Linked DNA regions of Canis lupus familiaris. The protein of the gene in region 1 interacts with the protein of each later gene in a pairwise test. Links are inferred from orthologs where the notes say so. Each region holds a gene or a part of one and is shown on either strand. Other genes may lie near its edges. The genes, in order: FNDC11 and GPBP1.

Region 1 (4,288 bases):
GAGGGCTCCGAGCAGCTCTGCTGGGAGGAGGGGGTCGCTCTCTGGAGGACACGCTGTGGGGTCTGTGCCCCTGGGGTCCCACCACCCCCAGGCCCCCACCCTCACGGCTCTCCAGCCTAAGGGGAGCCCGGTACTGCCCCCCTGCCAGGGCCCCGAAGGTGGGGGGGGGGGCTGCGGGATGGGCCAGTCCTGCGTCTCCTCCCATGCACAACCAGGTGTCATCAAAGATGTTTGCGCTCCGGGAACTGGGCCAGCATCATTCTCTTCCAACTGCCTGAGAATCTACAATTCTCTCAAAACCAAGAATTTAAGTTTTTATAGTTAAGTAAAAAAAAGGGGGGGTGGGGCCGAGGAGAGGGCAGAGGCCCAAGACCTGGCCCAGGAGGGCAGGGGTCTCCGGCTCTCTGGGGTGGGCTGCAGCCTGGGGTGGCTTCCTCCTCGGGCTCCCCGCTTTCCAGCGCCGCCTCCCCCCAGCCCTCACACAGCACCCCCTTTCCAAACCCAAGGGTGAGCATCTACTGAGCGGGGCAGAAATGGCATCCACGTGCCCCCCAGGGCTGACCTCTGCAGCCTCTGTGCCAGGCCTGGACTGCCCCGCCACCGCTCGCCGGGGGTCACCCCGAGGGGCCAGTGCAGCTGGGGGGAGTCCCTGCATGCAGAACAGGCTGGCAGGGAGCTCGGAGACAGGTGCCCTATCCTGGGGGGCCGCCAGGGTACCCGGGGGGCACGCCCACCCCCATCCTCCCCAAGGAGGCCAATAGCGCCTGGGTGTCCGAGAGGGGCCTCTGCGGGGAGGCCCCAGGCCGCTGACACGGCTCAGGGAAGGGGCTCCCTGGCGGCCCCATGTGTCCAGCCGGATGGGGAGTACCCGCCCAGGCAGTTGTCACCACCCGCCGGCGCCGCCCAGCTCTCCCCTCTCACCGGGTGCCGGGACAGGGCCGGGCAGGCGGGCGGCCAGCCTCAGTTTACTCCTCCCCGCGGGAGCCTACTTGGGCTTGGCTTGCGGGACACCTCGGCCGGTCGCCCAGTCGGGGCCGCCCCCTCCCCACACCCCGGCGGCGCCCGCCCCGCCCCCGCCCCCGCCCCGCCCCCGCCCCGTGGGCGGAGCGCACAGAGGCCGCGGTCGCCATGGCAACCCGCAGGACGCGGCGCGGAGCAGGTCCCGGGCGGCCCTCGCTCCCGGACGCAGGGCAAGTGGGCGCGGGCGGGGCGGCGGGGCGACCGGGGAGGGCGCAGTGGGACCCAGGGCGGCCCAGCGGCGGCCACCCCCGGCCCGGCCCGGCCTCGCAGACCCCCTCTCTGGTGCCCAGGGCCTGCTCTGGCTTCTCCCCGGGAAGGTGAAGGGCTGGCCTCTGGGGAGGGCCCAGACTGGGGTCGGCACCGCCCTGCCGCTCGGGGCGCTCTCAGCAAGTCACTCAACCTGCCAACTCTTTTTTTTTTTTTTTTTAAGATTTTATTCATTCATTCATGAGACACACACACACAGAGGCAGAGACAGGCCGATCGGAGGGAGAAGCAGGCCCCATGCAGGGAGCCCCATGTGGGACTTGACCCCGGGGCTCTAGGATCAGGCCCTGGGCCGGAGGCAGGCGCTAAACCGCTGACCCCCGGGCTCCTGCCAACTTTCTTTGTGATTAACCGAAGCCTTGGGTGGCTGCGGCTGGCCCAGAACCTGGGGCTGTCTCCCCGTCTGAGGGGCGGCTGGGGCCCAGGGCAGCCGTCAGACTGCTGGCCCTTCAAGGAGCGCAGCCTGCAGGGGGGGTCCTGGCGCCCCTGCGCCTGCCCCAGCCAGCTCCCTCCCACCGCCCCCTAGAGCTGGGAGCCGGGGCAGGGGTGGCACGGGAGGAGGGTCAGGCCCTGGAGTTGACGGCTGGCCTCAGATCCTGAACTGAGGAGCTACAAGGCATTTTAGCTTCAGGTACCCCGATTATGAGATGGGGCACCAGGATCTTCCCGCCCCGAGGGGCGTCGAGGCACAGAGTGGGGCTCAGTAACCAGGAGCTGAGGCCAGCGGCCACCCCGCCGCCTCCACTGGCTCCAGGCACCAGCTGGCCTTGTGTTTGGGTGAGCCCTGGCCCCCTGCCCCGGCCTGCAGTGACAGGGAGGGGTAGCAGGCCCACAGGGTGGTGGTGGCCCCCACAGGGAGTCTGCTGCTGCCCGGACAGGATCACACCGAATCCTCTCAACAGTCCCCAGGGCGCACCCTGAGGCCTCAGCCAGGCCCCACAGCTGCTCGGTGCTGCCCCAGAGCCCATTGGCCTCGCCCCTCCCTGTGTCATCACAATGACTCCTCAGCGAGTGGTTGCCCCCCAGCGGGCGGTGTTACCCAGATCTGCAGCCTGGCCACCTGCCTCCGGCAGCGCCTTCCCAGAGAGACGTGCTCCCCCATAAGCTGCTCCTGCGGGGCGGGCCCCGGGGCCCAGGATGGAGGGCAGCGGGCCCGGAGCCGCCCCCTCCGCACACAAACACTGACCCGAGTGAGCCCCCGCGGGTGGCGGAGGCCGCGGGCTGTTTCCGCTCACAGCCCCCGCCCCCCCCCCCAGACAATGAACTTGCAGGTGACAGGCCTGGGCCTGGACAAGATGAAGCTGGACAGTCCTCAGTCCTTCCTGGACCAGGAGGAGGCGGAGGAGGCGGAGGAGCAGCAGCTGCTGGCGCCGGCAGCTTGGCGGACCTACATGGAGCGCCGCGCGGCGCTGCGCGAGTTCCTGACGGCGGAGCTGAGCCCGCAGCTGCTCAAGCGCCACCACGCCCGCATGGAGCTGCTCAGGAAGTGTTCCTACTACATCGAGATCCTGCCCAAGCACCTGGCCCTGGGTGACCAGAACCCCCTGGTGCTGCCCAGCACCATGTTCCAGCTCATCGACCCCTGGAAGTTCCAGCGCATGAAGAAGGTGGGCACCGCCCAGACCAAGATCCAGCTCCTGCTGCTCGGGGACCTGCTGGAGCAGCTGGACCGCGGCCGCGCCGAGCTCGACGCTCTGCTGGAGTCGCCTGACCCGCGGCCCTTTGTGGCCGGCTGGGGCCTGGTGGAGCAGCGGCTGGCCGACCTGTCGGCGGTCGTGGACAGCTTCCTGGCCCTGATGGTGCCCGGGCGTCTGCACATCAAGCACCGCCTGGTGTCTGACGTCGGCGCCACCAAGATCCCGCACATCAGGCTCATGCTGAGCACCAAGATGCCCGTCGTGTTCGATCGAAAGGAGTCGGTGGCCCACCAGGACTGGGTCAGCCTGCGCTGGTTCGTCACCATCCAGCCAGCGGCACCAGAGCAGTTTGAGCTTCGCTTCAAGCTGCTGGACCCACGGACACAGCAGGAGTGCACGCAGTGCGGCATCATCCCCGTGGCCGCCTGCACCTTCGACATCCACAACCTGCTGCCCAACCGCTCCTACAAGTTCACCGTCAAGAGAGCAGAGAGCTACACACTGGTGTACGAGCCCTGGCGGGACAGCCTCACCCTGCACACCAGGCCGGGGCCCCCCGAAGGGCGCGCCCCCAGTCGGCTAGGCAAGCCGGGCCTGCCCCTGCCCACACTTTCTGAGAGATGATTTTCTAATATTTATCCACTAATAAAGACTATAAACTCACACACACACAAAGAAACAAACCTACTTACGTTTTAGAGGCAGCAGCAGCCACGCGAGTGTTTTCTTCAGACTCTGCCCCAGGCGCCCCGGGCTCCCGCCCTCTTTTCCCCGGTGCGGGCCCAGGCTGGACCTTCCAGGGTAGCCGGTCCCGGGAGAAAGAAACCGCAGTCCCGGCGACCTGCGGCCACGAGCAAGCATGAGGGATTCTCCAGGGGCCTCAGCCCCGTGGCCCAGCCCCTCCCGTCCTGCCCCAGGCCAGGGTTCCCCACGGGGACCTGTAGCTTCACGGGGACAGTCCGGGTTAAGTGAAGTCTTTCCCCAGAAGGAGCTAACGCTCATCCGCACGCCTGCCCCGGGGCGGTGAGGGCCGGGCAAGGCAGCCTGGCCCGGGCCTCCCCGAGACACAGGCCAGTGCAGCTGCCGCGTGGCGGCCCTCGGCGCCAGCTGCCACGCCCCGGGCGACCGGCCAGCCCCGCGCTGATGCCGCTACAGCCTGTCCTCGCCCTCCGGCTCGATCCCGCGACCTCGGGGTGCTCAGCCCGCTCGGCTCCGCGCACACGTCCTGCTGCCGCGGCTTGCCTGCGTCCAGGTCCAGGAGGACGGCCCTGTGTGGGGAGCTGTGGGGACCCGCCGTCCGCAGACCGCCCCTCCACTGCCGTGCCCGTCTCCGGGGTCGCAAGGGCCCCTGAGAGCAGGTGTGG
Region 2 (4,525 bases), on another chromosome or scaffold:
AAGCACAAAAAAGGTAACATAGGGACTGTTTGATCTGAAATATTCTTAACTCTTTCGGCATTTCAATCCACTTAATGGTAGTCTTCACACCGTTCAGGAAACTGAAGCCAAGCAGTATTATTCCAAGAAACTGAAAGGCTTCCAACATAGGATAAACTTGACTCTCATTACAGTTTACAAATGAGTATTTGTTTGCTCACCATGTAATACTTACAAATTCCAAAAGGACTGCACAGGAAGGTGTTGGGTTTTTCTCTGTAATCTTTATGTTTTCCAGTTTGTTTTTTTATTTTGTATCCTCTGAAATAATATCCAAGTTCTTTGAAGATACTTAACCTATGACTATTTGACATAGAGTTACTTCAAGTCAGCTACCCATACTTCTGTTTTAAAGTTTTCATATGGCTATCTCCAGAATTAGCCAAGTTCCTTGGATTTAAGATTTTAAAGTCTTCTTTATTATTCCATGTACTTGTCACTGTTGTATTTATCCACTCCAGATGAAATATCCAATTTATGAGCCAAAAAGCAAAAACAAAAAGAAAATTTCACATCTGAAGAGCATTCCTAAATATCAGCATATAGAGAGACATACAGCTATCTCAATACTACCACGCTGCTGGAAAACTGCAACATCTTAAATTTCCACGTAAATAAAAGATAAAATGAAAAAAACTCTGGATTCTTTCAATGTCTTCATTTAGAAAAGTTGTCCCATTGTGACATGAAAAGGGCTGAGGTCAAAATTTCCTAAAACTTTTAATAAAGGTAAAAATAAACTGCCATGAAACTTCAGCAATATTTAAACAGTAATTTGAAACTGCTGAAACTACTCAGTACACAAATCAAACATATCTTACAGTTTTGGGCTGAAGAACAACTACAGGAGAGGGGTGGGGGTTGGGGGGGGGAAGGGGAAAAAAACAAAAAACAAAAAACAAAAAACAAAACAAACAAAAAAAACCAGCTGAAATAATTTAACCAGTTATATAATCCGTTTGAACCAAAATACTGAAGAAATGCCTGGGTCTCTTTAAGTAGCTTGTAGAATTGTTCACTACTACAAATTGACTTCAGAGATGGTTCTTGCCACTTTTAATAAACTTCTGGGGCAAAATTATCCAAAAACATTGTAATCCCAAAATGGCCACTTCAAATATCCGGGGCCTTTTACACAAAACCTAGAAGATGATCTTCATATATGAGTAATTCGATCACCTGTAAAAGTCACACACACAAAAAAAACAAACAAACCTTAAATTACACAATGAATTTTAATTTTGAGCTAAAAATTAACCCCCACCTCCAAGAGTCAACTTCTGGAGAGAAATTCACTTCTACGAAATTATACTGGGGTCTGAAAGCAGCTTTGCCCAAGCAATCGCCCCCAAAACAGTCTGCTGTATGAAAAAGACTTTAGACGGAGAGGGAAAGGTAGGAGAGGCTATTACCGAGACCAGAAGTGAGCTCAACTGGGAAGGGGGTGCGGATATAATACAAGGAGATTATATAAACCTTCCTATAGTTTTCGAGTAAGATTTAAGACCATGAAACCGGCCCAGAATCTTATAAAAGACCACCTCTATTTTCAATTCTCTGGGCCCAGAGAAATGGAACAGGCAGGTGTGGGGCCAGGAGCATCAAATGCAACTTAAGAGAAAAGGGGCTACGAAGAGAGGACGCTCTCTCTGAGGCAGAATGCCTGAAAGGAGAGAGACCTTTCCCCGACTGAGGGTAGAAAGTAAGGAGGTGAGACGTGGGGCAGGAACATCGCTTCAGTTCGCCTGAGGGGGAGACTTGCCCGGCTCCCGAGGGCGGCTGTGGGGTCAGGGTGTCGGTCCCCGATTTCCTCGAATTAAGAAAACAGGTTTCCCCCGGCACCGAGGGGGCGGAAGGGGCCACGCCGTCCTCGGGAATCACAGGAGGAGCGGCGCTCCCCGCAAACACAAGCGGTCCCGTCAGGCCCCAAAGGACTCCGGGGACCTGGCAGCGGCGAGTCCGGGGCACCGCCACGGCCGCGGACCCGGCGAGGCGGAGCGCGCGGGCGCGCTACTGAGGAAACGCCGAAGGCCACAACTCGGCCTCGACTCCCCCGGCCCGCGGAGAGGAGCAGGAGTGCCACAGGAGGCGGGCGCGTGCGGAAGGCCGGGGGGAGAAGACCCGGCCGGGGGCGGCGGGCCCGCTCTCAGCCTCCGCCGAGCAGCCCCCAGCCGCCAAGCCTAAGCCGCCCACCCCCTCCCCACGGCCGCCGCCCCCACTCCGCCGGGGCCGAGTCGGTACCCGGAGGGGCGCCGCGGCGCCGGCCGGCCGTCTCTCTCCCTGCTCTCCGCCACCCCCCACGCCGCGTCCGCGGGCAGCCTCACACCTCGCGCCGCCAACGCCGCTCCCGACCCCCTCAAACCCCGACGCCGACAGGGGCGCCCCCCTTCGTCCCCCAGACTCCAGCGCGGAGCACCGGGGACGGCGTTACCTTCTGCCACACCAGAGGTGCCCCTGGCCTGGGGGTGCCGCTGCGCTCGATCCCGGGAGGAGGTTTTCGGTACTTTGAATAATCCCCTTTTGCCGCTTTTCCCTCCCCCACAACCAGTCTCAGTCCCAAAATGGCGCCGACCCGATCCGCAATGTTCTGGGTCAAGTCTCGCGAGATCGTGGAAGGTGGCGAGGCGGGGAAGGAACTAGAGGGGTTGAGGAGAAGGGAGGGGAAAGGCGGGGCGAGGAAAAGGAGGAGGGAGAAAGGGTGTGGAAGAAGCGGTGCGAACGAACCTACGGGGCGGGGCAGCAGGAGGAGCGCCTCCACCAGAGAACCTTCTGGCCCAAGCAACCGCTCACGCCCCGGCCGGAAAAGCTCCGCCCTCTACGTCGGGCGGCGGGGTGGGGGGAGGGGAACAGGGCGTGGCCACGTCTAGGGGCGGGGCGTCGAGGAAGCCCCGGAGGCAGGGGCGCGTGGGGGGCGGTGGCTCCGCGCAGTGACGTCAGGAGCAGCTGGAGTCGGGGATTACCCCCTGCTGCTGACGTGAGGACTGTGAACAATCGGGAACGTTCGGTGGAAGGGGGAATTCCCCGCCGCTCGCTCAGGAGCCCCCTCCCCTCCGCCCCTCCCCCGCCCGGAGCCGCGGGGAGCCTGGGATGGCGGGGCCTGCGGGAGGGTGAGAGGGGCAGGCTGAGCCGGGAGGCCGGCAGCCGCGCGAGCCGGAGTGGCGCGTGCCGCGGCGTGCAGGGATCCCTGCCTGGACGCTCGCAGCAGCCGCGGCGCGTTCGGCTCGCGGGCTCCGCGCTCGGGCCTGGGCGGAAGGCAGATCACATGCTCGCCGGCGCGCTGCCCTGCGCGGGCGGAGCGCTGGCCGCGCGGGCGCCGGGCTAATTGGCGCCCTGAAGCAGGGGATCCACCATGTTATGCAAATACGAGTGTGTCGGGCGTAAATGACACGTACGGGAGCCCGGGCTGCCGGGCGGAGACCGACTCGGTGGGAGCTGAGCTCGGATTCCCTTTGAGCCAAAAACGGCTGCTGGGTGTGATGGTGCTGATCATTTTTCTTCCTGCTAAGTCTGCAGGAGGTGAGAGCATTCTTATTCCACGGGGTCCCTGGCCCGCGCACCCCACACAGTTTTGGTTTTTTGTTTGCTTGTTTTTCAGTGGATTTCCTGGTAGTCATGGTTCTCAAATAGCGATGCTTTTTCGCTTTGTAACTCAAGGCTGTCTTTGAAACCTGTGAAGTTAGTTTTCTAAGAGGTAGAAAAGTAACCACATGTGCTTGGGGGGGGGGGGGGGGAGTGTCTCAAAGAGAGAAAATCCAGTAAACAAGAAGTCCTTGGCTCTCCGTACTCCCCCAGCCCACAAGGGCTTCGTGCGCAGAAACTTTATGGTCCTTTTCTTTTTTTTTTTTAAGATCTTATTTATTTATGAGAGAGAGAGAGGCAGAGACCCAGGCAGAGGGAGAAGCAGGCTCCACGCAGGGAGCCCGACGTGGGACTCGATCCTAGGTCTCCAGGATCACGCCCTGGGCCGAGGGCGGGCGCTGAACCGCTGAGCCACCCGGGGATTCCCTTTATGGTCCTTTTATATGCGTTATGGGGTTTGTATTTTAATGGACTGCTTCTAAACGCTCCCTGATAGGATGTTTGAATGCAAACTTAACAAAAATTACACCTCTCAATCTTTTGGTTCAGGCGCATTGGAGAGAGCTATTTGGGGCAAATAATACCTCGCCGAGAGCAAAGAAAGGAAAAGAGCATTTTCACAAGCTGGATGCCGCATCTGTGCCAGGCACTTCGTCCATACACCAGCTTAGGAAGTGGACGTTATTTGTAGCGTTTTGCAAATGAGGAAACTGGTTCAGGTTAAGTAACGTAGTTAAGGTTGCGCGACAGGGAAGCCGAGTGCCACCAACTTGGCGGTCCATCTTGAATGTGCTAGGGTCTTCATGCACATTCTTTCCTCCACACCACAGTACTTCAGTAGAAGTAATTGAGGTATTGGGACAAGACCTGCTTCAGCATCTATTTCTAAGCATGATGCCAATTCAAG

The links.
Region 2: the proteins of FNDC11 (region 1) and GPBP1 interact in binary tests that used the Homo sapiens proteins (3 or more experiments, as listed by UniProt). The link is inferred for Canis lupus familiaris from reciprocal best matches to the Homo sapiens genes FNDC11 and GPBP1.

Annotation. Positions count from the first base shown.
Region 1 is NC_049245.1:47,988,976-47,993,263, forward strand, and holds FNDC11 (fibronectin type III domain-containing protein 11), read left to right. Parts: upstream 1-1,460; 5' UTR 1,461-1,929; coding exon 1,930-2,064; intron 2,065-2,543; coding exon 2,544-3,548; 3' UTR 3,549-3,593; downstream 3,594-4,288.
Region 2 is NC_049223.1:43,424,091-43,428,615, reverse strand, and holds the start of GPBP1 (vasculin), read right to left. Parts: upstream 2,871-4,525; 5' UTR 2,764-2,870; intron 2,670-2,763; exon of another isoform or gene 2,471-2,669; intron 1,219-2,470; 5' UTR 215-1,218; exon of another isoform or gene 201-214; intron 1-200. UniProt on the Homo sapiens protein: Functions as a GC-rich promoter-specific transactivating transcription factor.